Linked DNA regions of Neodiprion lecontei. The protein of the gene in region 2 purifies or fractionates together with the protein of the main gene of each other region. This does not show direct contact. Links are inferred from orthologs where the notes say so. Each region holds a gene or a part of one and is shown on either strand. Other genes may lie near its edges. The genes, in order: FAD-linked sulfhydryl oxidase ALR, mitochondrial intermembrane space import and assembly protein 40-B, cytochrome c oxidase assembly factor 7 homolog and mitochondrial import inner membrane translocase subunit Tim10.

Region 1 (8,775 bases), on a different chromosome or scaffold from region 2:
TTCAAAGTAGGAACGCAAGTTGTGCGTGAATCTGAGAATTACTGTTCACAAGAATAACGTTGCTTTGAGAAAATCGAGCAGGACTTGAGAATCAATGGTTCCAATATTAGTGGATTAATTTGGAATCGGACATAAATTAATTCTTATACTTCAACGTTTATTATTAATTTCATGGTTTTTTTTGTTTATGCCAACTTAGAGATTACCGATTTTTCAGAAGTTGTAAAGCAAGCTCTTCATCTTCGAGTAGACTAAGACCAACATTCTTATCGCTCAATTTAGCCTTTTTTCTATTTTTCTTTCCGTTTATTTCTTCATTATCTAACAACTTTCTTTTGGGTATTCTGTGAAAAAAAATGTATCATCAAGAACGAGACATTTTGAATGCAATTTTAAAATCTAATTATCATTCATTACCTGTCAATTTCATCAGTATCTTCACTGGCATTATCAAATTGAACAGCATCGGTATCCTCGCGTTTGCCATAAATTTTATCTGGATCTGGCAACCAGGACAGGTCTGGCTCGTTCTCATCGCTACTACCATCACTATCTCCTTCATCCTCTGCATCCTCTCCTTCTTGTTCTACCTCCTCATGAACCTTCTTTCTGCTAGCTTTCAGTTTCTGTTTCTCTTCCCGATGTTTTGCTCTTATTCTTTCTTTGAATCGTTCTTTATCAAAACGATCCTCCTCACGTAGTATCGCCTTTGCTTTTTCAATATCAATCCCAGAGCTCTCTTCATTTTCGTATTCACGTGCTCTCTCAGACATTTTAGATTTTGTAGGGTTTACAATCACCTATAAATATGTATTCATTATCGTTACCAGCAAATTTATTGCCACAATCTTCAAATTACGCCTCTGGCAAGATATTAAATTTAAATTAAGGTATTATAAAAATCAAAAATGTGTTTAACACATGTGTCATTTCATAATCTCAGAATAAAAATTGAATGTAAAAATGTATAATGTAAATAATATACATATATGAAATACAAATACCTGGCCCTCATCATCAAAAGTAGTTTTTTTATTCGCAACTATTTTCTTCTTCAGAATTTTTTTAGCTAATGCAGCTTTTGTGACAGCTTTCTTCTTTGCTGTATTTGTATTGTCTATGTTTTCAGTATATTTATCTTCCGTATGATCGTTCAGAGAATCGTTGCCGTCTTGGATGTCTATGTCTCGCCGTTTTACAGTTAGAATATTTTCGTCACTGTCACTATCCTCTATAAATGGCACACAAAATAGAACCGTACATATGGAGGAAGGTTTTTTCATATAGAATCATATATTCCATTATTCATACAACAAAATATCTTCAAAAACTGACTCATCTGTACCCCTCTAAATGCAAAATCTAAAAATACTTTCCACAAATACTCAGATGTATTCTGAAAATTTCGAACAGCTTATACCTATAAATTTTTTTTTCTTAAACTCACCATTGCCAAAAAATGTGTCTCTTCGATCCCGCGAATCAACAGCATGATATTCATTGTCACTATTCTCACGTGGCTCATTGCCACTCGTGCTATTTCCAGATCCTTTATCGGAATCACTATCTGATTCGATGTTATAATTACTTAGTTTTTGTGATATTTCGGAATTTGTAGAATCGTTTAATTTACTGAGTTTTTTCGCACGTAGATTTTCCTTCGCTTTATTGATTTTTTGAAGAAATCGTATCCTGGGTGGTATTGCCAATCCCAATGATCTGTCAAGTGTATGCGTCATGTAATGAATGAATAATTCTTGGAATGTCACTGGGATCGCACAGATTGATCACATTTATATTCACAGAAAACTTTGGGCAAGATAATGGGTAGGACCCCATCATATCATACAAAACTTACTTGGCATAGGCATCCGTATTTAGCTGATGCACGTCGAATATACTCTTGTCTTTCATAAGAAAGACGGATTTTACATAAGCAACAAAGGCTCTCTGAGCCGTCTCTTTCAGCGCCACATCTCTAGCAAGTAATGCTTCCATCTTTCTATGAGGGGACTGCAGTTTATTCGGATTGATTCTGAGAAATATATTCACATATTATACCTTTACCAATTTCTTGTCTGCCAATGTTCTTAACAATAAATACAAGTAATAATCTAAATAATGATTGCCATTTATAGAAAAGAACATGAGTACATATTACAATGTTGAGAAGCCACTTCGTTTCAGAAATTGTGTAAGTGTAAATTCACTTACTTGATAACATTAATAGGAACTTTATGTTCCTGCAGTTGCTCAATCATATTGATCTCACTTGGCAGTAAAACAAGTAAGGATTCTCCACCTCTTTGGAATCTGGCAGTTCTACCTGCTCGATGTATATAAGCATTGACATCTTCTGGACAATCCATTTGCACTACCCAATTCACCGCCGGGAAATCTAAGTTCGTAATAATTTTCATTATGAAATTCTTGTGACTGATTAAAAAAAAAGTGATAATCATGTATACAACGAATGGTACTTTCTATATACTTGAAGAAGTGAGTAAATATGACTCTTGACTTCCCAGATACATTATCACAATTTATCTAATTAATTGATAATTGATCAAACAAATTACCTAATCCTCTGGCGGCAATATCAGTAGCAAAAAGTACAGCATGCTGTTTTTTGCAAAATGCTTCATAAATAGCCATTCGTTTCAACTGGTGAAGTGTACCATACAATGCAAGCAAACTTACTCCTGGTTTTAAACGGCAAAACATATCATTCACGTATTTGACCTAGAAACCATTCAAATGTTGTACTTGTACTCAATAACCGTAAGTGATGAATCTATCACTTAGAAACAAATACCTGTTTGCAGCTGGAGAAAAATACAAGTATTTTTTGCCGCAAATGATTCCTAACAAAAGACCACAACATTGACATTTTATCCTCCAAATTACAGACAACATAACTCTGTTGTAAACGCTCTGGTGTCTTATGTGTGGCATGTTCATGAACAGATACATACATTGGATCATGTAAACTCAATCTGGCCAAATCCTTGACTGACCTATTGTGAGTTTTGGATGGTTAGGGTATGTAATCTAAAAAAACTTTTGGTAGGTAGCAATGTAATATCTGTTTAGTTGCAATATGATATACATACTTAGTTTGCGTTGCTGAAAATAAAAGTGTTTGCCGTTGAGATGGCAAATTCTCAATAATGCTATTCATCGTTTGCTCGAATCCCATATCTAAACATCGATCAGCTTCATCAAGAACTAATACCTAAAACAAACAGGGTTCAAAAATAATTGGGTAGGGCAATTCCAGATTGTAAACCTAACACAGTTGTTCAATTTTTAATTATCTAATTTCTCAGATAAGCAGCAAAGGTAATAATGAGGTAACTGAAAAATACATAGGGAAAACACATTTTGAATAATCCAAGATGTCTTTTTCCAAGCCCAAACGGTTTCAAATTCCAAAACAATAGTACTCTTTAAATTCAAATACATGCCATTATATTTTGATATTTTTCTTATGGTTCACGATTCAAACTCTTATTCAGAATAAGAAAGACAAAAACAAAATAAGTGGAAATGCCTCATTATTGAATTCCGCCACCAAGTATATACAAAATACAATATATATATATATATATATATATATATAAATATATACACAAAATTTGATTATACATCTGAGTAAACTCTACATTGATCCTTTGAATGTACCTGCATATTCACACAGTCAAATAATGGATTCTCATCCATATGTTGCAACAATCTACCAGGCGTACAGATGACAATGTTGCACTGATGCATCCGTTTTTTTTCAAAATGCAGATCTTTACCGCCGATAATAAGACCAGCCGAAAAATCATGGTAACAGCCAACTTTTCTTAAGGTTTCGTATATTTGATAAGCCAACTCCCTGGTTGGCGTGATAACCAGGGCTCCAACAGCATCCAATCGTGTCCATTGTTTACAGTACAAAATCTCTAAAATCTATTGGCAACAAAATTCATTGTCCGATAAAGTCATCTGTATTCAATTATATTATAACGGTGAAATATAAATAGAACTAGGCAGTGATTCAGATCTCCTACCAATGTTCGCAGTTAATTCATGACCATCCAAAATTGTCATGTATATATATTTACCGGTATTAAAAAGGCTAAAGTTTTTCCGCTGCCTGTTTTTGCTGCTCCCAAAATATCAAGGCCACGCAATGCTAAAGCGATGCTTTGTCGTTGAATTTCCGTCGGCTCGAGGAACTCGTTTACTTTCAAACCTCTTAGAGTTCGCTGCGACAGTGGGAGGTCGGAAAAAGTCTTGACTTTAGAAATATCGACCTAAATGGGGAGACAATTACAATTTTATAACTCTACTAGCAATCTTCAGCGCCTTCTGACGCTGACAGGTGCCATTGCACTCGGCATGCTACTCTTTAACATCATGCTACAATAGGTTAGGATATAAACAACAATACTGTAGTATGCTTGAAACTGACCGTTTTATAGGCAGCTTGAAGTTTTTCAATGATCTTCTCTTCAGGTTCATATTTTTTCTTATGGTATATCTTGACTTTTTTTTTCGTCCCTTTATTCGACATGGCAAATAATTAACCAAAATTCACACCTCAAACACGATCGTACCCTCAACAATCAGACCACATGGGATTCGATCACTGATACACAATCGTCAAGAGCCAAAAGTAGTGTGAAGAAGAGAAAGTAATTTCAATCGTTCCGCTACACTTTGTTGCACACATTTTTCACGGCGTGACCGCGTCTCCTGTACTACATACTCGATGCTCCAATCTTGCCACAAAATTCGCGTAAATATTTGAGAGGTTATGTATTGAATCACGTAACAAACATGAAATAAGCATTATCAGTTTTAATGTCACCTAAAGAGATATGGTTTTCGACAAGCCCTGTAGAACTTGTACAGATTTTAAAACATGGGCAAAATTACAGAAGGAAACATTCGATTCAGAACAAGTAAGATAGTTTTTTTTCTAGTCTACTTAATCCACATACGGCAATCTTGAATGTTCCATCATGTCGCTTGGAACAGGCGGTTTAGTAGTTAATATTTCAATTCAATGCATAATTCTTATTACTGCAAAAGTGGACATTTTTTTCTTATTATTTCAAACAATCAACCATCAACGAAGTATCTATTCGCACTAGAAAGTGAACCTTAACTGAATACTCTGGATACTCCAGCCAGGCCAAATGTTTAATTGTCTCGAATTTTACACTAAAAATTGGAGTGTCCGAACGATTATTCAAGTCACGCTCAAATTGCGTAACAAAGGTTAGATTAAATTCGGTCTCTATTATACCTACGTTACAGTTTAAATAACTATTTTACTATAATCCAAAACCACAGCAAACTGAAGATACGAACGACGCTGTGAGTGTATGTCACTCTTCAGAGAATGACTTGGAGAAAAATTTTATTTCCATAAACTTGACGTGCCTTGCAAACTTATTCAAACACTCTAATATCTTCTCAACATTCATAACACACCCATATTATATATATTTAGAGTGCTCCATATAGGTTCACTCTGTAGTGTGAATGGACATAACAAACAATTAAACGTTTTACTTAGTAGACTAGATGTGTAAATTAAGGATTAAGTCAACCCACATGAAAGAAAGTATATTCACAAATGTTCATTCTGCTGCACAGATTTTTCGTTAAGTTAATATTCACAATTAACAAGCTATTATGGTAAAGACAAAATTTCCGCTGATTCAAGATCTAATTGTTATTCTCGGTTCTTCCTTAATTGCATAGAAAACAGAACAAAAGGTGAAAGAGGCTCAGGGCTCTGCGCAGCAGGTAGAGTCTACAGGAGCAACAAATAGGCGCAATGATTGTCCTCTTGATAAAGATGAGCTAGGTTCTAAAACGTGGGCTTTTCTGCATACGATGGCTGCCTACTATCCTGATAAACCAACAAGCGAGCAAAAGACGGACATGAAGAACTTCTTCACTATATTTTCCAAGTTTTATCCATGTAATACATGCGCAGAGGATTTGCAGGTGCAACTAAAAAAGTCACCACCACAAACTGAGTCCCAGCATCAACTGAGCCAATGGCTTTGCAATATACACAATCAAGTCAATGAAAAATTAGCAAAGCCTTCCTTCGATTGTAATTTAGTTAATCAAAGATGGCGAGATGGATGGTTGGATGGTTCTTGTGACTGAGCAAATTACACATTGCAATTTACAGTCTTGTGAACTAGGTGCATAATGTTACTAACATTAAAACAATATTGAAATAGCCTTGAGACAAAACTTCAAGTTAATTAATAACAGAAATTCAGAATTTTTACTCTTTCGTCATTGGTACAATTCATCGGAATTTCATGACTGCAAGTACGTATTGAGAAATGTGACGAGGTACAGGAAAAATTTTTATTTGAAATCTTAGCATTTTTAGTAAGTTATATTCATTTGGCTATGGATTAAGCTCCTTGTTAGTGCTCCCTTAGTGTGTACTCATTCAAACAGAGCAATATAGGCTGATAAGGTAAATAATCAAACCATGGTTCCCGTTATAAATCATGGAACTTGCATTTAGAAAATTTTGTGTCTTTTATGTGTCTAGTTGTGAAATTATTAATATGATATTAAATATTCAAGTACCATGATAGTATTGATCACATGTTCCACGTATTTTACTTCAAACAAGTTGAGCTGATTACTCTGGATTTTTGTTATTTCACTTGTCTACAATTCATCTACAAAGGTTTCAACCTTCGTGTATTTTTACCTCGTTAGATATGTTATCCTAACTGCATTTGGCATTACTTTCCCGAATGTTCTGTGCTCATTTCATTAAGAATTCTCAATTTCGTTTCTGAAGAAACAACAGAATTTTATTGCGACGCAATGATTATGAATAAAAATGATAAAATAACAAGCCATCAGGAATCATCGAGGCATTTTTAGAGGAATCTGTAAAGGAATTTAGTCGTGAAAATTGATGCAAACAATTATGGAATCGAAACACTACAGACACCTGAGTCCTCTGGTATAATTCAAATTTGGTGAGTTTCAATTGTAGTATGCTATTTATAGAAGACGTTTTTTACGTAATTAGTATCATGGATGAGATGAAAGCTTAATTACAGCCACTACACTGTACACTATACATATACATGTAATAATGTTAATACATGTACGTTGTTCTTGTTAATTGTGTATATAGTGAAATATGCGTAGCATCTGATGTTCTAGTTTGCAATAAAACTGAACAAAGCAATTAAAAAAGGCAGATTAATTCTTCCTTGTAGTAATTTTTGCCTTCAGAGAGTAAATGCCAAAATTCTAAAAATAGCAGAAATTGATGCAATAAAGCAAAAGTTAGAGACAAACATTAGGACAATGTGTCTAGAGAAGTCAAAGTAAATCCCATCAGTGAACGACGAACGTGATTCAACCGTCGCATTTGCGACGAGAATAGCGTCCTACGATTGGCTCTAGATTTCTGGCTTGGTGAGGGCATATCCAACGCAGCCAATCGCGGGATGCTATTTTTGTCGCAAACGCGAATGCCGTTACAATGTAACAATTGGAAGCGTACCCTAAGGCGTTGGATACCTTACATGCGGTCAACGTGCTTACCGTGCTTAGGTTATAAATCTTAACAAATTTGTGATTCGTACAAACGCGTGTCAAGTTTGTTTTTTTTTCGACATTTCTTTGCAAATCCGGACTACAATGACAGTGAACAAGCAAATGACTAACGGATATAAAGGTATTGCAAACGCAAAATGCATATATAACAGTCGCATAATAATTCCTGTTATTTAAATTTAAAATATTTTTAATACTCCAGTGTTGTGGATTCGATACGGAGAGCCAAACTCAGAGCGGCATCAGATATTCATAAAAGAGCACTCCTTGAGGAAACAGGAGCCTCAATACCCAAAGGGACGCACGCTGTTTGTACTAAACATCTCACCCTACATCAGCGCTGATAGTATTACGAATGCATTTGCAGAGAGATGCGGCCCTGTCAAATCTGTGACATTTGCACCAAGGCATGAAGAATCTCAAAACGGATTCAAAGTCTGCTATATTGTCTTTGAAAAAGAATCTGGCTTAGACAAAGCTTTATTATTGCCTGAAAATTATGTCTTATTGTTGAAATCTACAGAAGATTCTACTACCGGTATTATAAGTAAGTGGAATATTTCTTATGAGCATGAACTATATTGCCAATCCTGTAATTATATTTTCATTGACTAGAATGTCCATAGTACACAATGAATCTCATTAACCTTGATTTCCCATCATACAGAATGGTGCAAGCAGTATAACAACTCTGTATGTGATGAGGAAAAGACTCAAAAAGAAATCGAGGAATATATGCATGGCTACGACCAGCGTGTAGCTAATAGATTAATGGAAGCGAGCGCAAAAGCAGAGAATAGAGGGAATCCAGATGGGTGGACTGTTGTCACTGGTACAAAAAAGCGAGGTCAACGCGCATTGTTACGAAAAGAATCAGCCATCGGAAAGGTTCGACAAAAACAGGCGAAAAGCAATGAAAAGAAGCAGTTACTTAACTTCTACACCTTCCAAATTCGTGAATCGAAAAAACAAAGTAAGTTGCATTCACTTGACAAAGTGCATATTTGGTGTTGGTATGTTGATTAAGTTCTGTTAAACATAAATAAATTGTATCATTTTGTTATTATTACAGATTTAGCAGAGCTGCGTAAAAAATTCGAGCAAGATAAAGAGAAGTTGCAACAGCTCAAAATTAAGAGAACTTTTAAACCGTTTTAAGTG
Region 2 (6,858 bases):
GGGGCGTCGATATGGGATTATTATTCCCGAGGCATGTATCTCGAGTCAGTAAGGGCAACGCAACGCGGAGGCATTTGTGACGCAGGGTAGTTGGTCGCTTGGCGTGCATAACCGAGTCGTAATACTCGAGGCCTCCTCAAATCTAACAGCAGCTAACGGCTGCTCGACCTACGGCAGTGGAAATATTCCACATCGGCGAGTAGTCGCCGGGGAAGCAACGGCGACCGCAAGGCAAAGGCAAGGCGACGCGACGCAACGCAATGTAATCCAACGCAACCGCGTTACGACATTATAATCGAAAAGGTAACGAAATGAAGAAAAAAAAGAAAACGGAGTTCGGTGATGATGGATAATTTAATTTCCATAACGAGGCATTGAGGATGTCAAGGAGGGTGTGGTTGTTCGAGGAATTACACAAAATAATCGATCCCGATCGTTAGCGTATGAAAGAACGTCGATCTGCGCCTCCGCCGCTTTCGGTGACAAAGTGCGCTCCCTGACTTATAGCGACGATAGTTGACCGACCGCAATCGTTGTTTAACGACTTCCATGCGCTGTTGTTGATCCCTGGTAAATAGTTAATTCGTTCGACTAATTGACGAAAGCGATTGTAGAGAAACGGATAGCGCCCTCCTCTTTAATACATCGCATAAGGTACACGCGTTGCACGTGCGGTACGAAATTATCGAGTCATCGTTACCCAGCTGCTCGCTCGCTCGCTTGCTTCATTATCTTAATCTACACGCTTTCCCGCAGGAACATCGGCGATGCATGTGTGAGCGTGAGATTTCGAAAGAATTTCGCCCAGGTAGATACGTACATGCATACGTGCTCGATGTTGGATGATCGTCTGTGAGCGCCATTTCGACAAACAACGAATCCCCCGTTATACAGGTATATTATTAAGAATCAACAAGCACTTTCTACATACCGATCTCTATGTCTGAGCTGCAAGAGGTAAGGACGACAGATATTTTTAGCCTCGAGTATCTCTGTTCTCGGACTTCTCAACTATACGGAGGTGACAATAGGGATATATTTACGGATTAGAAAAAAAAAACAATGAAATTATACGCGAGTACCTAACGAGTGGCTAGATTTGTTGGACAGATAAAATTACAACTCGGCCCTCCCTTCACACTGCCCGACGGCATCGGTAACAATGGAATCCGTATTTTTTCTCCTTACAGATAGGATTTTTTATGAGTTTTCAGAATCGAAACCCACTGCAAAAATTCGCAGAGTCAGAGCGGAGGTCAACGTTACACGGTCGAACGGCAGGCGCGGGTGTGCTGTCACGATAACGCGTATGCGTGCTTTTAAGATGAAAGTTTTTGGGAAATTATTATTCAGGTTACCGAAGGTGGGTACGAATCGGACGGAAAACATCGCCCCGCGCAACGGTCGCCGTGCCCAGGCCAAAGTCGTAAAAAATTAAAGGGACGGGGATATCACGCGAGTTGGATAGTACACAATCACGTTTATACGTGTAATCGTGCCCGAGAAATTCTCGGTTACACGCAGTACGCACTCGCGAAGAATTACGATCAGCAGAAGGGAGACAAGAGAGAGATAGAGAGATAAAGAGAGAGAGATGGATGGATGGATGGAGAGTGAGGTGTGTGCTTGCTCCTCCACGCACACGGTGTTCGCATCGTTGCATCATGTGTCGCAGGTGCGAAGAATCGTGAGATGGAAAAAGATCGACTCGTCGAAAAAGCGGGCATTGATTGAACAGAAACTTGTGCAAGGACTCACCGTCGCTTTTCCTTCGGCTTGGTTCGCTTATTGTTAGACTCCATTTCATCGACCTGGCGCATGCCAAAAAACTGAGCGCCCACGTAGAATACCCGACACTCTTAGACACTGCCAAGGAATGCACACGCGTATCCTACTCAACGTGCTCAGGTAATCACACCGATGCGGTATAAATAACACGCTTTAACCACGTCACTGTTTCGGCCCTCACTAACCAACGATCCTGGTAGGAAAATACGGGACGGGGAACTTCGTTGATTCCGACGTGCTCGGTAAACTTGTTAGGGGGATAATTTGACGTCACATGGCCGCCACACGCTGCGTCAACGCCAACGACGGCAGAACCGTCAACTACTTTCTACCTAACCGAATCCGGCGCCAAATTCAAACGGCGTTAACGGGACTTGGAGCGTTGTAACGAATCGGCCCCCCTGCTCTTCGTTTATTCTACATTTGAAACAAAATGTTACTCTCACGGTTTACTCGTATATGCATAAACAGGAATCACACAATTACACATGAATAGCAGCGTTCGTTGGGAAATGTAACAGATGCAGCGCTCCATTTTTCGTTTATTCGTGACATAGCAGTACCATAGAAGAAAAGAAATGATCGCAATTTCACGCAACAGACAACTGTGCGTGTTACAAAAATGCACGTAAGAATGATAGATACAACTATTGAAATTCGGCACACCATATGCTTTCGAACGATTACAACTGGTAGTAAGTGAAAAGAGTTTACTGTTCCTCTACGATAATATTCTACCGCTTTCTACACCAGGGATACAAAACATTGCCGATATTCTAATCTATTGGTTAAGCTTCGATATCTATCGACGGCAAGATGAAATTTTGTACAACTGTTTGATCCACATGCCTCGAAGATATATCGACCAACAGCCGATTGTTTAACGAAGGAATTACTAAATTGGCAGTACATAAAGTAACAATATCTAACGTTGTCAATAATATGTAAATACATCTCTCATTTGGACCCTACCGAGTGTTGCATCTCGTTTTTACTACCACTGCTCGCTTCGATCCCATTCTCATCGCTCTTGCTTTCTCTACTGTCCTTTATCGGATCTTCAGAGTCTTTGCTAACTACCGCCTGACTCTCAGCCTGACCAAGATCGTCGAGGTCGGCTTCCTTGTTTCCGTACAGCGCAGGATACTCGGACATGCAAGTCTGCATGGTTTTGAAAGCGTCGTAGCAATCCGAGCCCTTTGGCTCTGCGGCGGAGTAGTGAAAGCAAGAGAACGCCTCTCTGAATTCAAGACCACAAGGGCCAGTCGCCATTCCACCGAGGCACGGACAGTTCCAGTTTATTTCTCCGTTGGCCAGTATCAAACCGGGACTTGGCTCGGGTTCGGGAAGATTCACTTTACTGGGAGAGGCGTGATCCTCTTTGGAGGCAAATATTATTGTGTCCTTACCCTCTTTTCTAACAATCGACATGACTAAACGACGATTGATTTAACCTTAAATCTATGACTTGAAAAAACTGAACAATACTACCAAATTTACTTAATGAACAAAAGTCCTGCTATCGGCAGCTAGAGATAGAAGATTCGCAGACGCTTTATGAACGGTATAAACGCAAGGCTCCCCTTCGTAGTCACTGGCCAACGTTAAAGCGGCTCTCAGTCTAACGTAGCTGTCGGATTGACAGCGAAGGACGAATCTGCGGTCGCTGACGTTGTACTTGAGTATATCTACTTGCGACTTGGCCCCAACAGCTCCGAATAATTTTTTCACAGCCTGCATAACATGCTTCTTCAAAAATACCGCACTTATCTCACGGTTCGAGTCGTTGGGAAGTTCTCTGTAAACGAAGAGAATAAAAAAAATAGATGTTAAAATGTTTACGATCCCTAGTGAGGTGAACGGAGTTTCTCCTCGCGACCGAGGAGCTGCATTCCGTGTCTTTCTTTATTTTTTTTTTTCCTTAATTCAAGGTTAGATCCCGATCCGGGTTAGGTTAGTACTACGATAACGTGCGAGAAATCAATGGCATACTAACAAAGAGACGTCTAAGTAACGCATGATACACAGTAATAATCGTTGGCCACAATTCACTCACATTGACGGCAGCGTAAATCGTACAACGATTTCGAGGGAAATTTACTATTCCTTGATAATAAACGGCAGAACGAGAAGTTAGCAATAGTTACGGACGCACCCGTATCACCGTCGACCATTCGCCACGCCGGTATGGCCTGCAGGCTGGAATTCTAGAACTTCGGTGTTGCATAACTACGCCGCGTGGTTCAACTTGCCCCCCACAGATGCCGTTTCAACCCGGCAGAGATTGAAACGATCTCGTGTATGCCCGGTTGCGTCGCGTGGTCGTACAGGCGCAAAGCGACCTACGAATTTCACTTCATAATCTGCCGGATCAGGCTCGATGGAAATGGAAATATTAGATTTTAACGGTAGAGAATAGGTACTGTATTCCAGATACGCGAGTGAAATTGCTCGCAAGAAGCAAGGAGCGTGTGCGTCATCGTCAGCCTGAAATAAATCGATGCAAACCATGTCATCCATCCGTACATGCATAACGCCTACTTCGGGTACCCTATCTATGCGATATCGTTATATTTGGGAGACTCCTTATAGCAAGAATACCCTTTAGCGACTGAATTTCCAATGGTTATCTCTGCTGCAGGATCGTACACGGTCATCGCAAGAATGAACCGATTGCACGTACGCGTACGATACGTGGTAACTAACACACTAGCACGGTGCGTATGATTATATAGGTATGTATAACGTGTGTGGTATACACGGCGGGGCGGGCTGAAGCATAGTAAGTTTAAGCCGCTCTGATTGAGGGTCCGCGAAAGGATGAGTGTAAGTAATAGAACGGACGGAGCGACATAACGAGGTCCATATATCTCGGCGCTTATCGGTGAACAAGTTTGCAGAACAATCCCTCGACTTGGTCGGTAGGTAGGTAGGTAGGAAGCTGGTAGGAAGGTTGGGCCGGCTCGGTGACGCAGCGCAACGCGACGCGACGTAACGCGACGCAACGTAGCGCAGCGTTGTTACGGTTTGGTCTGGCAGGCAGCTCCCAATAAATTATGAGCAGATCCACAAAGCGGTCTCGAGGGGCGACGCCGGCCAGCCTCCGCGTCCGCCTGCATGCCCGGGTGAAATCGGAGGGCAACGTTGATAGATACGCATTGGGCATCCGTTATTTTTTATTTTTTTCCTTTTATACTTTTTTTCACTTTTCATATCCGTGACAGTTGGCGAACTTTCGAAAGGGCCCCGGAACAGCCAGGGAGCCGACCATGGGGGAAAAAACGCACATCGGTTTCGCGTAAGTTCTACCTTCTTGTATTATCTCCGAGTCAGTCTATAATAAGTTTAGTCTTTGGTTAGACAGAAATTACCGGATACGTAGAACGTTAAAATATATGTATTTGTGGTAAATGGATCTGTGATAAATGTGTCCGCGCAACAATTGACGAGGTTACTCCAACCGAAGTAGAAGGTTGGGTCAAGAGGACCCCCGAAAGTAATTCGACCAATGCACTGGTATTAGAGGGATACAGAAAGGGAGAGAGAGAGAGAGAGAAGGGGTCACGTTTTATGTTTTGGCGAAGCTCCCGCCTACGCGGATCTCTGCATGCATGGAGGAAATACCGCCGAGTTATCTGCGGCGTACGGGAGACGGGCTGATTTATTAACGCAAGGAGAAACGGACGGACAGACGGACGGACGGGCGGAGGAACGGATAAGCTGAGTAGGTGGGGTGGGTGGGTGAGTATATACCTACGTCCGTACGGGAGTGACGTCACAATGCGGCGGCGGAACACGCACGTTTGGCTACCTGCTACGAGAAGAATGGAGCGTTGTTATACCTCGGTGCTGCGCGCAGTCGTCTTTGTACGGTTCGACACTAAAAACGAAACAACTAAAATGATAAGAACGATTCCCCGCAGTCACGTTCCTCGACTTCGCGTTTGTGTTTGTCGCCAACAATGGTGGCCCGTACCCTGCCCGTGTACCATTTAGGTGCGTAGACAGTTATAACTAGGTGAACTTGACTGGCATTGGCGTTGTGCACCGCGCGCTCCTAGGATGAGAGTGAGTTTGCGCCAGGAGAGCAGGCGTTAGCCGAGGGCAGAGTTACAAAGTGTAATCTTCTGTCGAGTAATACCGAGAACTCTCCTCTGACGCAGCATCCCGTCGTCTCTACTCCCGGGGCGAGAGCGGGATCGAGATATCCGAGAGATCTACGGATCGCATTTTAAATGCAGGATGAAGCGAGGCTGTGCTCGTACACCCGGCCGTTCGCCGCGCCGCTCTGCCCGCTTATCTCATTCCTGGGCGCAACTAATTTTCATTTTACATTTCTAAAAGGTAGTTAATTTTATTTATTTTAACCGTCGCAACTCGAGGGTGCCCGGCCGAGCTCTGGAGATAGCCGTCCTCGAGAGGATCGGGGAACAATTGTCCATACCGAGGACTGCGAAACTTCCTCGGAGTAGGCGACGCGACAGTTCTTTACCAGGGGATCACAAAGTTCAAAGCTGAGCAATACCTGGGTTATTTAAATTACGCCAAAGACACTCACCACCTCCCTTCATCCGTCTCTCAGCTCTCTTCGCCGTTGTTGCCACTCGTCCGGGTCCGAGGAGGGGGAAGTCGGAGGCCATCGGCGCGGCTCACCGGCTGTCAGTCGTCCGTCAGCGTTGCAGCGTGCATCAAGTCTGCGTGGCGAAGAGAGAAATCAGTCGTTGGTCAACGCCGCGGGCTGCGTCTGGAGTCGGAGCTCAATAAGCGATTGCCTAATATGAGCGTACGCGATCGCTTGTGCAATTACGGAGGGATACGAGCGACGGTATTTGGCCCGATATCGCCGTCGCAGGAAAATCGCTCCGTACTAGCTCGTCTAGCCGTGACAGATGTAGTTGCCAATTTCGGAACGTGCCAAAAGCCGTTCGATTTTCAGCCATCAAAGGGGCACAGACCTCGTTCTCGCTATTATACAACGCATAATGGACTGCACGGTTCTTTCGTACAACGTGACGTCGAGAATTAAAATCAGTTTCCAATTCGGCAACCGAAAGGTTCTCCGCTAATACT
Region 3 (7,507 bases), on a different chromosome or scaffold from region 2:
TCCGAAAAACCGTTACTCAGAACTCTCTATCCGCACAGCATACGTATTACTTGTGATTGCCTACCGCAAATCCAAGTTGCTATAATTTTTCACAAAATTCCGCAATCTTTACGATACACGCCAGATATTACTTTACGAAACTAACCGGGTTTCGATTTCTTCATCGAAGCGATCACTATTGTAAAAAAATCTCGCTCTATTCCACAGACTGAGACACATAGGTACTGTAATATATAGAAATAAACACGCGCAGGCGAGTAATATTATATTTCCGGCAATACGTCGATTACGATTTAAACTTATAACTACACCGATTTAAATTGAGTTAATTTTAAATCCCCCTCACGTATGCTTTAGTCATACGATAAACAATCTTCAGCTGCCGACACTTTTGAATAACAACTGCATGTGTTTGCGTCTAGTATACATGCGAGTTTGATCATCGCTTCTATAATCGAGAATCGAGATTTGTCGTTTTATAAATTCCAGTTTAGAAATACCAATTCTAGATCGGCCGTTACAGGGTCGAGTTTTTAGTACATACCTGAGTATGGAAGAGAACCTCGACCGCTTGTCCAACTCTGCTGACGCCGACCAGACTGGCGACAGAACTGGCGTGGTAACCAACTGCACAGTGTTTCTCGAGAGACACGTTTGTCTCAGGAATTTTTACTCCATGTTTTTGTTTGCGTGTAATTTTGTACCTTCGCAGATCGCTGCGAGGCAGTGGCGGAGTAATCGCGAAGTCTATGGATTCGGATATTTTTAAATTCATTTTTTAACTATGGCAAAAACTAGGTGAAATAATATATACCAGCAACGTCGCTCCTACAATGTAGTAGGAAAATATTTGTTCACTTATTGCCTTGTTACCTGGGTACTTTTTAGAGTTTTCTGGGTTACATTCAGGTGTTTTGAAAATGTAATTGGATTGCCGAAATATTTGCGTAATGGAAAAAGCAGCTGACTCGGATATTGGTATTTAATCAGTTGTTGCTTTGCTGTAAAATTTAAGTATATATTCATACATAGGTATGTGTGTTGGATATCCGATTGTGGGCGTTGATCGTGTCCTTATACGCTATTGGCGTGTCCGTATCGTAATCAGAACAATTCGTTCATTGCGTGTTAATGAATCTCGGGGTTGGATTTTTAGAAGCGATCCTGCAGTTTACTTCTAAAAAATTGTGAGCTAGTGAGGATATTGTATACATGGATTTGGACACCTTCACTAGATGTCAAAAAACTTTTACCCCAAGAATGTTTTATACGATAACCGACAAGTTCAAATTGGAAGAACTTGTTATTCGTAAGGCTAATATACGTTATAATTATTACAATCCGTTGACGATGTAACAAGCCGATTGTGATAGCATTTTCGCAGATGTGGTTGTGGGCAAATATTGAAGTTCTTAACATTATACGAGAAAAATTGTTTCTCTTTCAGTGACTATAACTCAACAAAAGCAAGTGCTATCTTGAAACCATGTGAAAAGCCATTAATCTAATTGATCTTATACAATTCTTACTAACCATTGTCAATTTATCATATTATCAACACAGACGGCAATGTAAAAGCACAGTTTGATATTACTGTAAACACTGAAGTATGAATACAGGTATAACTAGAGGTTGATCACTAACTGCAATTATTTTCATCATCATTCGTAATCCTTGAATTCATTCGCAATTATAGATTTATGTATGTAGTTTTCAATAGCTATCGATAAGCCAAATGCTTAGGTACTGCAGCTTTAATCATGAGAACTCTAATCAGCATGCTGAGACTACGTTCATGACTGTCCTCCACGAGTTCTACGTCGTATTTGCAATTTGCACGACAAAGCGTCGCTTCATTATATTCTTATGTTAGTTAAACTCTATCTGACTCGGTTCTTTGACCAGACGTTAGTCACATTCGTGCGCCTGTTAATAGGCCACTGAGGTGACGTGAGAGCGAACATTCATAAATTCATTTGCCACGATCAACGCAATATCACCTAAGTAGCTCCTTTTACCTATAATCGAAGTCAATCGATATCATTGTAGCCTTTTGCTAGCCCGTTTCTAACTTTGTATGGAAAACGCAATTATACTCTACATTTTCCTGTGAATTTTTTAATTTTCAAACCATTTCGGATACAGGAACAGAAGAAACTTACGGATTTTGCGATAATCTACAGATTTGAATACCATTGAAAGAAGTGTGAACCTTGATCATTTGGGAGGTTTTTTAAAGAATTTCTGTTACCAGTTTAAAGAGAGTAAAATGAATGTTTGTAATACCATACTAGTAGGTAGATATTCACGACAAGGATTAAACTAAAAACAATTAATTTATTGCTATAATTGAAAACAAATAAATGTACATAAATGTCAACGAAATAAGTCTCAACAATTTATCAAACGTACTGGCAGTCACGTTAGCTTCCCATACCCTGCTGAAACGGTATATGTTTGGTCTCTTGCAAGGCCCTTTGAATCGAGAGTGCTCGTTGCTTGAAGGCTTCGGCAAGTTCAGAATTTTTCTGAACTCCGTCGCCACGTGCATGCATTTGTGACAAGTTGGCGCAGGCATATGCGTTTCCAAGCTCGCAAGCTTTCATCGAAGCCTTGTAAGCTTCCTTCATGTTCTTTTCCAAGTAATCCGGAACCCCGCCAAGATAGAGTCCTGACAGGTAGTAGCAAGCTTTTTCCAACTTGTGCTCGTGGCAAGTTTTGTGAAGTAAATCAAGCCCCGTTGGAAAATCTATGGGAACTTCTTTCTCTCCAATTTTAAACGAGGACGTTGCCACAATTCCTGCATGCGCACAGGACATCATGTCTCCAACATCGCATCCTTTTTTCAGATACTTGTAAGACTCTGTAGGTGATTCCGCATCCAGACCTTTGCCTTTGTAAAGAATTAACATGAAATTGAAAAAAAAAAAACCAAACACGTTACAGTTATTAAATACGGAGTAATGGGATGCTTTATGAAAATTTTTACGTTCAAGCCTTTGTTTAACATTACATTTTCTGTAATCTTAGCTGAAGTTCTGTATACCTATTTTAGAACAATCTAATACAGGGATTGATCTCACCGATTAGTGCATAACCTCCAAACTTTCGGCAACTGTGGGCAAAGTTTCTCTCGTCACAATTTTCCTTGTAGATTTTGGCCGACTTTTCATAATCCTTACTTATACTCTCTTCGTAATCTCCAAGGAGGTGACATGCTGAATAACATAACACAGAATGTGAAAATTGAATGCTTTTAAACGCGCAGCGGAAGTCGGAAATGAGGTTATAAAAGGAAGGGTGGTATTACTTTCCGGGTTTTTCTCGCTGAGACATCCGAATTTGTATTCGATGTGAAGGTTTTTAAGATACTCTTTCACCTCTTCAGGGCTCTTCAAGTTGTAGCCAGCCATGCCCTGTCACGATAAATCCGCAATATGAATTAAAAAGACGACATTAGAACGAGAAAGATTCGCGAGAGAAAATTGGAGACAATCGAACCTTGAGCGCCGTCGGCAAACGAGATTGACGAGACCGGGTGTGCGCAAGTTCGATATCTCGAATTACGGTGCTCGTCTCGAGCATTGTAGCCCTTTGAAATATCAGTCGGTCAGTTGAGAGTCAGTCGCGCGCTTGGTTGGATCGGCGCTCTGTGCGAAATTATTGTCTCCGCGAATTGAATATCGCCGTCGCAACGAGAATTGACAACATGCAGCTACGGCACGGTTTTCATGAACTATCCTCGATCAACGAAGCCTGATTGAAGCTCTGCAGTCTTCGAGGTGAAAACTAGAAATTACTTAATTACTTAAAGCGCACTTTGATTAGCACGGTAATACGATACATTCTTGCGTCGCTTTTTCCCCACATGCACAGATATTTTAATTTCAATTCAAAATCATCTGGGAATAATTTCTTCGGATCTTTTTGTACAATCGGTAAATCCGCCCGCCTGTAGGCAACTCTCAATGAGTTACGGGATAAGGATAAACGCTAATCGCCTAAAGTAACACGGATTGCCTACACGCAGGCAACCTTGCATCCTGCTTCGTCGCGTCGGCATAAATTAGCACGTGAAAATTGAGCCATCCTCGCCCTTGAATACCACATCGTCAATCGATGGTTATAATGATGAGGTGAACCGCGACGTGGTGGAAAAAAAATATGTATGTTCAATAAACATACCTACATGAAGTTCGACTATGTAGCGATTCGCGTGACTGGAAACTGTTCTGTTTTCACTATTCGTCATCACCCAAGGTTAAGTCTCGGAAAAACGCCAGGCACTACAGTTCGATGCCCAATTCACGCAATACAGCTACTGCTAATAGCATCATGCTGTATATTTGCAAACCAAATCATTCATTAGACACGCGATTACAATTATATCTACGCCGATTCATCGGTTACCCTTGACTGGGAGCTTTTGGTTTTTGACCCCACTGCTGCCCGAATAGGAAACTTTGCTCATTCTTTCTGATTTAGGCATAAATTATTTGAAAACATCAATAGCAACACTGTTGGGTAAAAAAATACAAGTTCACTAATGTTCGATGGGCATTCGACAAGGGTACGGAAAATAAAAATTATCAGACTAATTGCTAATCAAGTCAATTTACTACAGTTTTTGTATTGTCAGCTTTTTTGTACGACAAGTTAAGCTGTTGTGGTGATTTCAACAAAAAAAATACACCATGCCTTTATTTCTTTTTTGCTCTTTTATATCTATTCATGCTGCTTCCTAAAACGATGATCTATTGAACAATGGATATATGTGATTTTTTTCTATCAATGTGGCTATTTTTTTTTTTACCAAAAATCCGTTTTTTGGATACATTTTTACCGAATTCAATTTTTACCATTATATTTAAAAAGATATTTTTGTTTTCACATGTTCAGTATTTTCACATTCTACAGTTCACACGAATCCTCGTTAACAGATCTTACGGCTATATGTTTAGTCCAATTATACACTGTCCAATGGTAATTATTCACTTGAAGGCGCACCAAGTTTAGTCTTAGACGTGGCTGTAAGAGATAAATGAACGTTATCTGCACGCGAATCAGGCGCGAAAGCATGCAACACTTAGCATCGTAGTTGCCGAAACTACAGTGCACCGATAGAACGCAGGGGGTAATTGTCGCACTCGTCAGAGTAGTCAACAAAAATATACGTCACTTTCGATTCGTGCCTTGCTAGCTCGCTCGATCGATCTTCGGTAAAAGCTTGAGCGAGTGGGCTAACCGGTCATCCCTTATCCTATCTTTCACATATTTACGAACAGCGAGGAGTTGGGGTTGCGCATTAACATAAAGCTGACCTTCGACACAGGGGTGGAAGCACTTTTATCTACCATCTACTGAGCAGAGAGGCGGTACACCTGCACGTAAAGGTAAAGGTACACGCGTGTAGTTCGAAATGCCTGACCACATGATGCCTGGGTTCAAGGGTAAGAAGCCTTGAGTTTCGGGGTAGGCGATGGTCGGTTGTTGCCCCGCTTATAAAGGTGACACCTCGTGTCTATCGTGGGGATCGATCGATTATCCGAACGCTAAATAAATTACACGACAACGCGTGAATAATGGGGTTTATATTAAAAACTTCCGGCTAACGAAGAGCAGAACTTTGCCAGTTGCGATCTTTGTTCAAACCTGGATCGGTCTTTGCACAGCTCACGCAGCAATACGTACAAGTTTCTTCGCAGCTGCTACTCGCTCATATTATAGTTCTGTATAATTCATTGATGATATTCACCTGCAATAGCTTGGACCTTCGCTTCAGACTCAATATTCGCTAGCGAAAATAGCATTAGCCGACGACTGCATAGTCAACCTTCGGATCTTGTCGTTGATTTATGTTTGTCTTATGGTAAGGAACATCTATTATTTCTTCAAGGCATTTTCGAACAAGTATTTTAGTGTCCCGAGTAACCTATCGTCTTGTTTTATTCCGACGATGAAAATTGTCCTGCAGGACTGAAATTCATTCTCTATGAAACGTTACCATGTTAGAAATTTACGGTGAAAGGAAGCGTATTATCGTTTAAACAATTTCATGTCAAGAATTTTTTCTATAACTGTTACGATCATACTTAGTAATTATTTGTTATCATATCTTTATGTACCGTAGCCACCGATTCAATTGCTTCATTTTATTTACGGCTACCATTTTCCAACATTTAAACACAGTTAATCAAAACTAATTGGCCCAATTAAGAATATGGAACTTTCTTATTTCGTGTCGTACTTAGCACATTGAAGTTAACAATTTGTCAACGCTTGGCGTTAATCTATTAATTACAGCTAGTATCGATCGTCATACAGTCTAAAACTTGTATAATAAGCACTGTAATATTGAGTGAACGAAGAAACAAAAAAAAAAACACCTTATTCCCGCAGTAATAGTAGTTTACCCTCACGGAAAAAACCCTCGACTTGGGTGTAAATTCGTACCCTCAACTTTTTTCTTACAAGGATTTAGCATTATCTATGAGTTGAGGGTACGAATTTACACCAAAGTTGAAGGTTTTTTCCGTGAGGGTATCGTCGAGGTGGATATTACTTTCGTTTGTCACTATTGGTCTTTGCTAGAAAAATATTACAAAATTAAAATCATGAACGAATTGTCACTATTTTTTGTTGTTCACACGCAGATGAGCGAGTCCGTCAAAGTAGCATTAAGATGCAGGCCGATGTCCGTCCGGGAGCAGCAAGAAGGATGTCGGGTGAGTGTTTCTTCCTTGAACTCTATACTGTCAGATCAATTAGGAATACATAGTCAAGTGCACAAGAATCAATTTTGAAAAATGATAAATTGCCTCCTTCTCGTGGTACTATAAGTAAGAGACCATCGATATTGACCGAAGGTAGCCCCTAGCGACGAGGACACAACACGCAATTATCATATTGTTGCATCTCCGTATGGATATATTATTTCCTACCTAATCAAATGTCAGAGTTTGGGACTCAAGAGTGACGTGTTTCCAGCCACCGAAACCCAACGGCCGTTCGATTTTTGAAACGGCCGATTGTCTCGGTCAATCTTGTAATTGGAGGGTTGAACCGGGGATTCGTTACTTCGGCCAGGCATTTATCGATTCGACACACATCGCTGACTGCCGATATCCACTGACATGCATAACGCCACCCCTTGCCTCAACCTGTTTCCCCTTGCCGCGTGCAGGGAACTGTAGGTATAGGTATATGGTTATATATATATACACACATATATATATATATATCATACCCTGTCGCAGGTTATGGCGTATAATGTGTTATAGGTCATAACTACAGAGCCAACCCTTCACGCGAGTGCATCCTCCTCATTATTAATCATAGTTAAACGTGCGTTTGCGACCAAAGGGACTTCCTGTTTGTCTTCAGGAATCGATTCAGATTGCATTTGAACTAGACACCTTTTATCAACTCTATAAATAACCCGTGCGTAAACTAGCCGTCAATAATACTAATTTCAGTGACCTAGTCTTCACTTATACTGCACTCCATC
Region 4 (7,365 bases), about 25 Mb from region 2:
ACAATTACTGCTGCATTCTTGATCTTCTATTGTACAATTTTACATCATGTATATATGTTAATAATAAGAATAGTCATCGTCGTAATAATATGGCTATACAATAGTACACAATCATCAACTTATGGTAGACCGTTGACAGAATCATCAACACTCGGTACTTACCCAGCACCTCTCTCTCGATATACAACTATGTATAAAATATAAATAAATTAATTAATATGATAATTACAATTTAAGCAAGTTTCAATCCATATATATATATATATATGAACTGGACGTGATTCAAGTTTATAATTTTTTTAAATAGGAGCACGGAACGAATAACAATTTGCACATTTCTTGACGCTGCAAGGCGTGAGCCAAACAATATATAAATTTCATTTTGCAACGTACAGGTTTTTTCCACCCTGTTATTAGTTTCTAACAACTTCGACAAACTAATCAGCAATGGTCGCTGAAACTATAACAGCTGTGGCCCACGATTAGATGCTATCAAAATTAAAAAAAAAAAAAAAATAATACAAACAAGCTAATAGTTATGGATACTAGCTAACGGTATACAGTAGAACCCCGATTAACTGGGATTGGTTTAACCGGGGAGCGAATTAACCGTGACCCTCTGGAGCGCCTCCGAGCTTCGCGTGAGTAACCGGGTATTAGCGGTTGTCTTGGAAAGGGATTGGACTTGTGAAAATACCCTTAGTTCACAGACTGCATCACATGCTCGGCAGTCACTATTGAATCGATCGAAAATTACTAATAATTCGGATTAACCGTGATTTCACTTATTCGTGGATTCTTCGGTCTTGAGCAGCCCAATTAATCGAGGTTCCACTGTACTCGTAATTACAAAAGTCACGTGAGACAAATTCGCTCCTAAAAAAGAGCGTATGACAAAATTAAGAAACGGACAGTAGTCCAATGTCGATTTAATTAACACACCGCGTAAATAACAAACACGCGTACGGAACACGCGACAATCGCGGGCGTTGATATTTAGATACATATTAAACTAGTTTGATGATAAAAACTGGATAATTAATTATTTTGTTCGAGTAATTAATAATCCGTGGGTCGTTGATTTCAGTTCGCATAATGGCAGATTTAGAGAAGCCGATTCTAAGGTACCTTCACGGAAGTGATGAACGTCATAGGAATCTGCTAGGAGCTGTTGGAATGAAGTGGAATAACGAATTTCGGTCCGAACGGTGATCTGTAAGTGATACCAACGTCCGAAAATACTTTAGCAGGTAGGGCCAAATTGCAAAGATACAATCTTCCGTTATCCGCGCTATGGGACAGGGGCAATCCACCAAGGAGACTGAATTTTGTCATAATTCCTGGAGTCCCAGCTGACGGGGGTTCAATTGCAAGAACTGGTGCTCTATTGCTGTTCGCCCATGTTGCAACGGGAGCAACTGTCCTTGGCGAGCCTTCCTCGCCAAGAGCAAGGAGAATGAGATCAGCTACTGCGGGAAGATTCTTGTACCGAGTTTCAACCCTGTTTCCCGATAGCTTGTACAACGACAATTCCTGCAGCAGGAAGACGTCTTCCGAATTTTCAACGTACACGACAGTCTTCACCCCGTGACTTGACAATTGGCGAGCGCAATTGACACCCGCAGCTCCTGACCTGTGGGGTCCACACAGGGCGACTACCGTTGGCCATTGGTGCGCATTGTTCGGGTTTAGTCTATGCCCACCACCCAATAGCTGTAGAATTATTTCCGCTCCTGCACGACCCAGTAACTCGACCTAAAAATTTTGCAGAGAACAATAAAGAACGGAATAGTTTGGATGAAAGTGGTTTTTAGGCCTGTCAAGTTTCTCTACTTACCCTGCGATCCCAGCTAATACCTAGTCTATCAGCAGCACCGATTAATTGACGATGGAGATCGACCGTTATGCTAGGAATTACTAATCCATCGTCAGTTACATATTCCCGGATACCAGCAGACGGCACTGCAATTTGTCTGAATGCTGTAGGTTCGGATTCTATTACGTTTTCATCGTGACGATATTTTGGTACACTTCCTCTGGTGTTTTCAGACTGACGAACGATGTCTGGCTTCAAGGAATTTATTTCTTGCCACACAGCCTGTAATAGTTTTATTTAACTAATTAATTGTTGTATAGCGCTGTAAGTGGTGTGGGAAAAGGTATGAAAAGTACAGACATCAGATTTATGAAATGCCATAATTACCTCCTTATTGAACAGTGCTAAATTTTTCTCAAAATCAAAGTCCTGCTCCATCGACTGATCTATGGGTGTTCCAAAGGCTTGTTCATCTTTCTCCTGCCATCTTTGTCGTTGCGAACTCCTTTTCTGGTTTTTTGTGCTTATCTCGCCTGGAAATAACAGTTCGGAATTGTAATTTTACTTAAGTATATCCCACAATCTTTTACACTACGATATATCAACTGACAAACGTTAAAATTTTACTACCGAAAGTGCAGGAAATCCTACCTAGATATATTTTTCCATTAGCAGCAGGCTCTGGGTGTGACTGCATAGAATCAAGCGGTTTCCGCGCATTAGATTGCTGTTGAATATCGGAATTAGGAAGTACCAAAGGTGGAATGCATTCAGAAACGGATCTACCAGCTCGTTTTGCAATGGGTCGCCTCACCGTGACTTTGCTCGAAGTCTGAACTTCATCACGGCAATCCTCAGCTTCCTCTGTTGAGATTATTTCTATATGAAGTATGTCCTTGGCACTATAAGGGAATAAAATTAGAATTAAATAATGTAAAAGATATTGTCGTTAACACCTAATCATCACCGATATGATCTAAAACTTACGACAGAACAACTTGCGGAGAGGGGTAAGGTACCCCGTTTCGAAAAGCCTTTGTCAAAGTGACGGTTTGGCCGTTAAGGTCGACAATTTGGCCTTGGTAAGTGCCAAGTGACTCATCGCACTTGACCGACACGGTACACCCTAGGAATTGCGTGGACATTGTATTGTTCTGAAATTGAAAAGGAAGATGAAGAGTGTTGCAGCAGTGTCTGTACGGGAAGTCAAGTAAATATCAGGTATGAAACTGTTTCAAAATGATTCAATGCTTGAAATACATTGAAAATACCATAACGGGTTTCGCAACCCCCTATGAGGAGCAAAAAACGAACTTTAGCAGACTTTGTATTCAACTGTAACCCGGTAAATGCTAATATAATATGTACGAACATCTATGCAGGGTGGATATACCTATTGATATATTATGCTTCGGACTAGAAATAGACGTTTTCGGCTTCCAAGTGCTGGAATACCCAGCCACCCTTTCGACCTGGAGAAGAAAACAATGGTTCTCTGCTTTTCTAGCGACAGGATATCCACCAATACGTAAGCAAAGTCTAGCCGCGCCGAGCTGATGTGATGTAGAGGTAGGTTAGAGCACGTTTATTACATTACCATTTATCCTCTCTTTGCATTTACCTTACGACTGAACTGCTCTACTGCACATCTTACGCGGTCCAGAGGACGCCACTCGACGGCTCGGCGCGTCGTATTTCATCGCACGGGGCACGATGCACGCCCTCCTTGCACATTCGTTGAATAGGATAGTTCGGATGAACGACATTGTCTCGCGTATCGCATACCGGGATGGGCGATCTTAGTAGAAAATAAACACCGGCATCGTGTTTGAATTCTTTATCATCGAACTAGCGATGTTCTTCTGAAAACATCGAAACATGGATTGTTAACACGTCGATGGTGAAAACAAGCGCGAATATTTTAAATGATTCTAGCTACAATGGTAAAAAGGAAAATGAACGCGAAAATTTTTAACTTTCATTATAATTAAAAATAAGTATTAAGTATGAGAATTCAATATAAATTAAATTAAGTATGCAAAAGTAAAATAATTAAATATACAGATTAATAGTGAAACATTTGGTAGAGAACACAGACTTATTATAAAACTTAGTAATGTGTGTTCCGTGTTTATAAATAAGTTACCGAGAATTGTTTGCTCACAAATTTAATTTATTCCCGACTTGACGACGTCGACAATTCAGTATTTTCCATCGACTATCGATGTATCGACGTTAAAAAACACCGATCAAAAACGTCGATGCTCCCGTAAAAAAACATCGATAGTCGAAACATCGATGTATATCCCCCATTCCTATCGCATGCGCTGCATGCATGCGCCATGCCAGCAGGGTGCTGTTTCATTCAGGGATCATCACGGATTCCGACATGGCCTTATCGAAGACGGCAAAAGTCGGCATTGGATGGTAGGTATGTAAATGGACGAATAAGTAACAGTGTAGGTACGTTGCATGCACTTTCGTAAAAGGCAGACAGAAATATGTGCCATTTGCAGAATCGCATCATATTTCATATCAAATTTTTTCAATCTTTGTATTGGATTATACAACATAACCCGTTTAGTACGCATGCATGTAAGCAGCTTTCTTTCGCGGCAGCTATCATTGGTGAACGATCATGTCATCTCCAATTTTCCTCGTGACAGACCATAAAATATAGTTTTTTTTTTCCAGGACATTCGCCGTATTTGGAGGGTTGTACGCTTTTGTCTTGTCCAAACGATCCATAGAACGGAATCGCTATGAAATGATGAAAGCGAGGGAACGTGTACGAAACTCCAACTTTGAATAGACTGACGGAAAAGTTTGTCGAGGCCTGAGCAAAGTTTAGTTTATTATATATTGTAAACATGGCTGGTCTACCGCAGCTTGACGAAGAGAAGCTCAAATTAGTCCAGGATCTAGAAATAGAGATGATGACGGACATGTACAATCGCATGACGTCTGCCTGCCATAGGAAATGCATTCCGCCAAAGTACTCTGAGGCAGAGCTCGGCAAGGGTGAATCAGTTTGCTTGGATCGATGCATCGCCAAGTACTTGGACGTCCACGAGAAAATCGGCAAGATGCTCACCCAGATGACTATGCAGGATGCGGACTCTTTACTAAAGCCGAAAGAAATAGAACAGACTAAAACGGGATGAAGTTAAATGACTTCTATATTGTTACCTAGTTAGTTGTTTAAATCCTAAGTAGTTTCCATAATAGTGTGACATATAAAATCAAAATATATTTATGATGTCAAGTCTATCTGTTTCGCTAGTTTAATTTTGAATTTTCTACAATTTCTACACCATAAGCAGGACTTTCTTCAAATTCTTCCAAGTCCGTGTACTATCATCTAGAAGAAACTATGCTTTGCTCTGCAACTTGTGTTTCTATCCGATTTAATAAATAAGAATTCAATTAATTATCCGTTACTGGATTATACTGTTAATTTGTATTTCTTTGACATTCAACTGCAATTAAACTTGATGATAAAATTAACGTGTCTGATTATGGTTTTTTAATGCTCGACATTGAAAGGTCACAACATTCTTGTTTCGTCGAGTATAATAATTTATGAGCCAAACAGGTGCAGTAACGTTTTGTGAACAGTATATTGATATATGTAACAACGTTGGGTACAGGTAGATGCATTATCCGAGGTACGGTTATCGCACGATTTGCTGTAATAAAAAATATTGTCTTTGGCGTGCAATCGCTCCTATCTTTACAGAAATCCGTGTAAAACATTCAGTCTTTCATGACGCATATTGATTAGGGTTTCACTCTGGGCAGTGTAGCTCCACGAGAGTAATAGATGCGGCAAAACAGTGAACAAGACAGTAAAAAATGTTTACCCCATAGCATAATTTTACCGTTTCATACTGACCCTGCCACTCGAATATCGTATGAAAATATTTAATACCGAGCAAATTGTCTCGGAGGAAACAAAGAATTGATTGTTGTAGCAAGAGGGCAAGTATCAGTACATACCGTGGTACGCTACCAACGCTTGATTACATGCACCTTAAATACTTTTCCATTATTAACTGTCCAGGGCAACGGAACTTGCGAATCATTCAATAATTTCTTAAAAATCAATAGTAAATATAGATAACTGAGCCATTAACAGAGCTACACCGGAATTTTGTCAGATCACCATATTTAATTAGTGATTTCATCCTCGATTGGTCGAGGTATAGCCAAAATAACTGTGTGTTGACCACCACCTGCTACTCGTATAACAGTTCTCGATTCTAGTTGTCTTCCTTTGATAACAACTGGTGTCTCGACGTCCTCTTCTTTCCCTGTGCCTAACTGGCCACTGCTACCCATCCCCCAAGCATATAACTCTCCTGCAAGTTGCAAAATAGTTATCCCCTAAGAATTGTGTTCAATGCAAGGTCGTAATTAGAGATATTAATTGTAAATGTAAAATGAGCAATTCAATCACCTGCACTGGTGACAGCAAATGATTGTGTACTTCCCGTACACGCGTCTATGCATTTAATTGATTTAAGAGCCGGAACTGGAACAAGTTCCTTGGCATCTGTGCAATTTGGTCCAAGGCCTAGTCGACCATATTCTTTCCGTCCCATGGTGAAAACCTGTCCCATTTCATCGAGGGCAATAGTATGGTGTTGACCGCTGCTGATGTGTTTCCATGCACGACCGCTGAAGGTTTTTGAAACTTGAGGGTAAGGATGTACGATAGCTTCTGTAAGACCTTAAACACAATTTCATGTACTGTGTGAATAATTAATAATATAAAAGAAAAAATAAAAGAGCATAGATTAATAAGAGATTGATGTTGGCACAGTATGCTTGATGGTATTCATAACTCACCTATTTGATAATAATTGTTTAATCCGAAAACATATATCTCCCCGTGGTGGTATTCTTTCACAAATGTACAGTATAATCCTGTCCAAATATCTTGAAATAATAGCTTTTTTGTTGCCTTGAGGGTAATTAGTCCTGGAGTTAGAAGATGGGTAATCCCATACCGACTGTGTCGGTCAGCTGATCTTGCAGCTACTCGTCCAAGCTGCCCCTGCTCAGCACAGCCACAGGTATATACCTGACCTTTACCTGTCAGTAAAACAAGATGGTCGGCCCCAGACGCGATTTTAATCACTTTTACACCAGGTAATATCTCCACGGGAAGCCTCTCGTTTCCTCGAGGTGTAAGTCCCATATTTCCGTGTGAATCCTTATTTTGAAACATGATAAAGGCAAACATTAATTATTAGTTAAACTCTATTTGAAATCTCCAGTCCTGCCGTTTAAATCTATATCGCAGACTTGAAACTAACCCTGAAAGCCCCCCACGCAAATACCCTGCCATCCTCAAGGAGGGCCGCCGAATGCGAGTCACCGGCAGTGACCTGTACAGCTTTTTCTGGGAGCGTAACAAATCCTGGAAAAGTCTCCGAGCCTTCTTTGCTAGTATCTCGTCCAAGCGCTCCCTCGTCATTACAACCAAAGGACAAAACTTTCCCATCTTTATTTAGGCATGCATTGTGCATTCCACCTGCTGCTAT

Evidence for each region.
Region 1: the proteins of mitochondrial intermembrane space import and assembly protein 40-B (region 2) and FAD-linked sulfhydryl oxidase ALR purify together in Homo sapiens (co-immunoprecipitation; 3 studies listed by BioGRID and IntAct, with this or other methods). This does not show direct contact. The link is inferred for Neodiprion lecontei from reciprocal best matches to the Homo sapiens genes CHCHD4 and GFER.
Region 3: the proteins of mitochondrial intermembrane space import and assembly protein 40-B (region 2) and cytochrome c oxidase assembly factor 7 homolog purify together in Homo sapiens (co-immunoprecipitation; 3 studies listed by BioGRID and IntAct, with this or other methods). This does not show direct contact. The link is inferred for Neodiprion lecontei from reciprocal best matches to the Homo sapiens genes CHCHD4 and COA7.
Region 4: the proteins of mitochondrial intermembrane space import and assembly protein 40-B (region 2) and mitochondrial import inner membrane translocase subunit Tim10 purify together in Homo sapiens (co-immunoprecipitation; 4 studies listed by BioGRID and IntAct, with this or other methods). This does not show direct contact. The link is inferred for Neodiprion lecontei from reciprocal best matches to the Homo sapiens genes CHCHD4 and TIMM10.

Annotation. Positions count from the first base shown.
Region 1 is NC_060260.1:31,867,467-31,876,241, forward strand, and holds FAD-linked sulfhydryl oxidase ALR, read left to right. Parts: upstream 1-4,763; 5' UTR 4,764-4,871; coding exon 4,872-4,955; intron 4,956-5,763; coding exon 5,764-6,180; 3' UTR 6,181-7,354; downstream 7,355-8,775. Other genes in the region: probable ATP-dependent RNA helicase DDX10, read right to left, coding at 207-344, 418-800, 1,005-1,231, 1,448-1,719, 1,859-2,035, 2,215-2,398, 2,580-2,742, 2,816-3,017 and 4 more; ribosomal RNA-processing protein 7 homolog A, read left to right, coding at 7,699-7,735, 7,817-8,161, 8,282-8,587, 8,687-8,772.
Region 2 is NC_060266.1:758,338-765,195, reverse strand, and holds mitochondrial intermembrane space import and assembly protein 40-B, read right to left. Parts: upstream 3,220-6,858; coding exon 2,746-3,219; 3' UTR 2,290-2,745; downstream 1-2,289. Other genes in the region: ribonuclease P protein subunit p14, read right to left, coding at 3,289-3,586, 3,785-3,807.
Region 3 is NC_060260.1:27,874,055-27,881,561, reverse strand, and holds cytochrome c oxidase assembly factor 7 homolog, read right to left. Parts: upstream 3,526-7,507; 5' UTR 3,414-3,525; coding exon 3,311-3,413; intron 3,219-3,310; coding exon 3,084-3,218; intron 2,894-3,083; coding exon 2,424-2,893; 3' UTR 2,318-2,423; downstream 1-2,317. Other genes in the region: osmotic avoidance abnormal protein 3, read left to right, coding at 6,654-6,725. UniProt on the Homo sapiens protein: Required for assembly of mitochondrial respiratory chain complex I and complex IV.
Region 4 is NC_060266.1:25,976,294-25,983,658, reverse strand, and holds mitochondrial import inner membrane translocase subunit Tim10, read left to right. Parts: upstream 1-4,085; 5' UTR 4,086-4,243; exon of another isoform or gene 4,244-4,279; intron 4,280-4,510; 5' UTR 4,511-4,686; coding exon 4,687-4,980; 3' UTR 4,981-5,323; downstream 5,324-7,365. Other genes in the region: enhancer of mRNA-decapping protein 3, read right to left, coding at 1,162-1,755, 1,838-2,098, 2,204-2,349, 2,468-2,718, 2,804-2,961; regulator of chromosome condensation, read right to left, coding at 5,987-6,177, 6,276-6,548, 6,668-7,034, 7,138-7,365.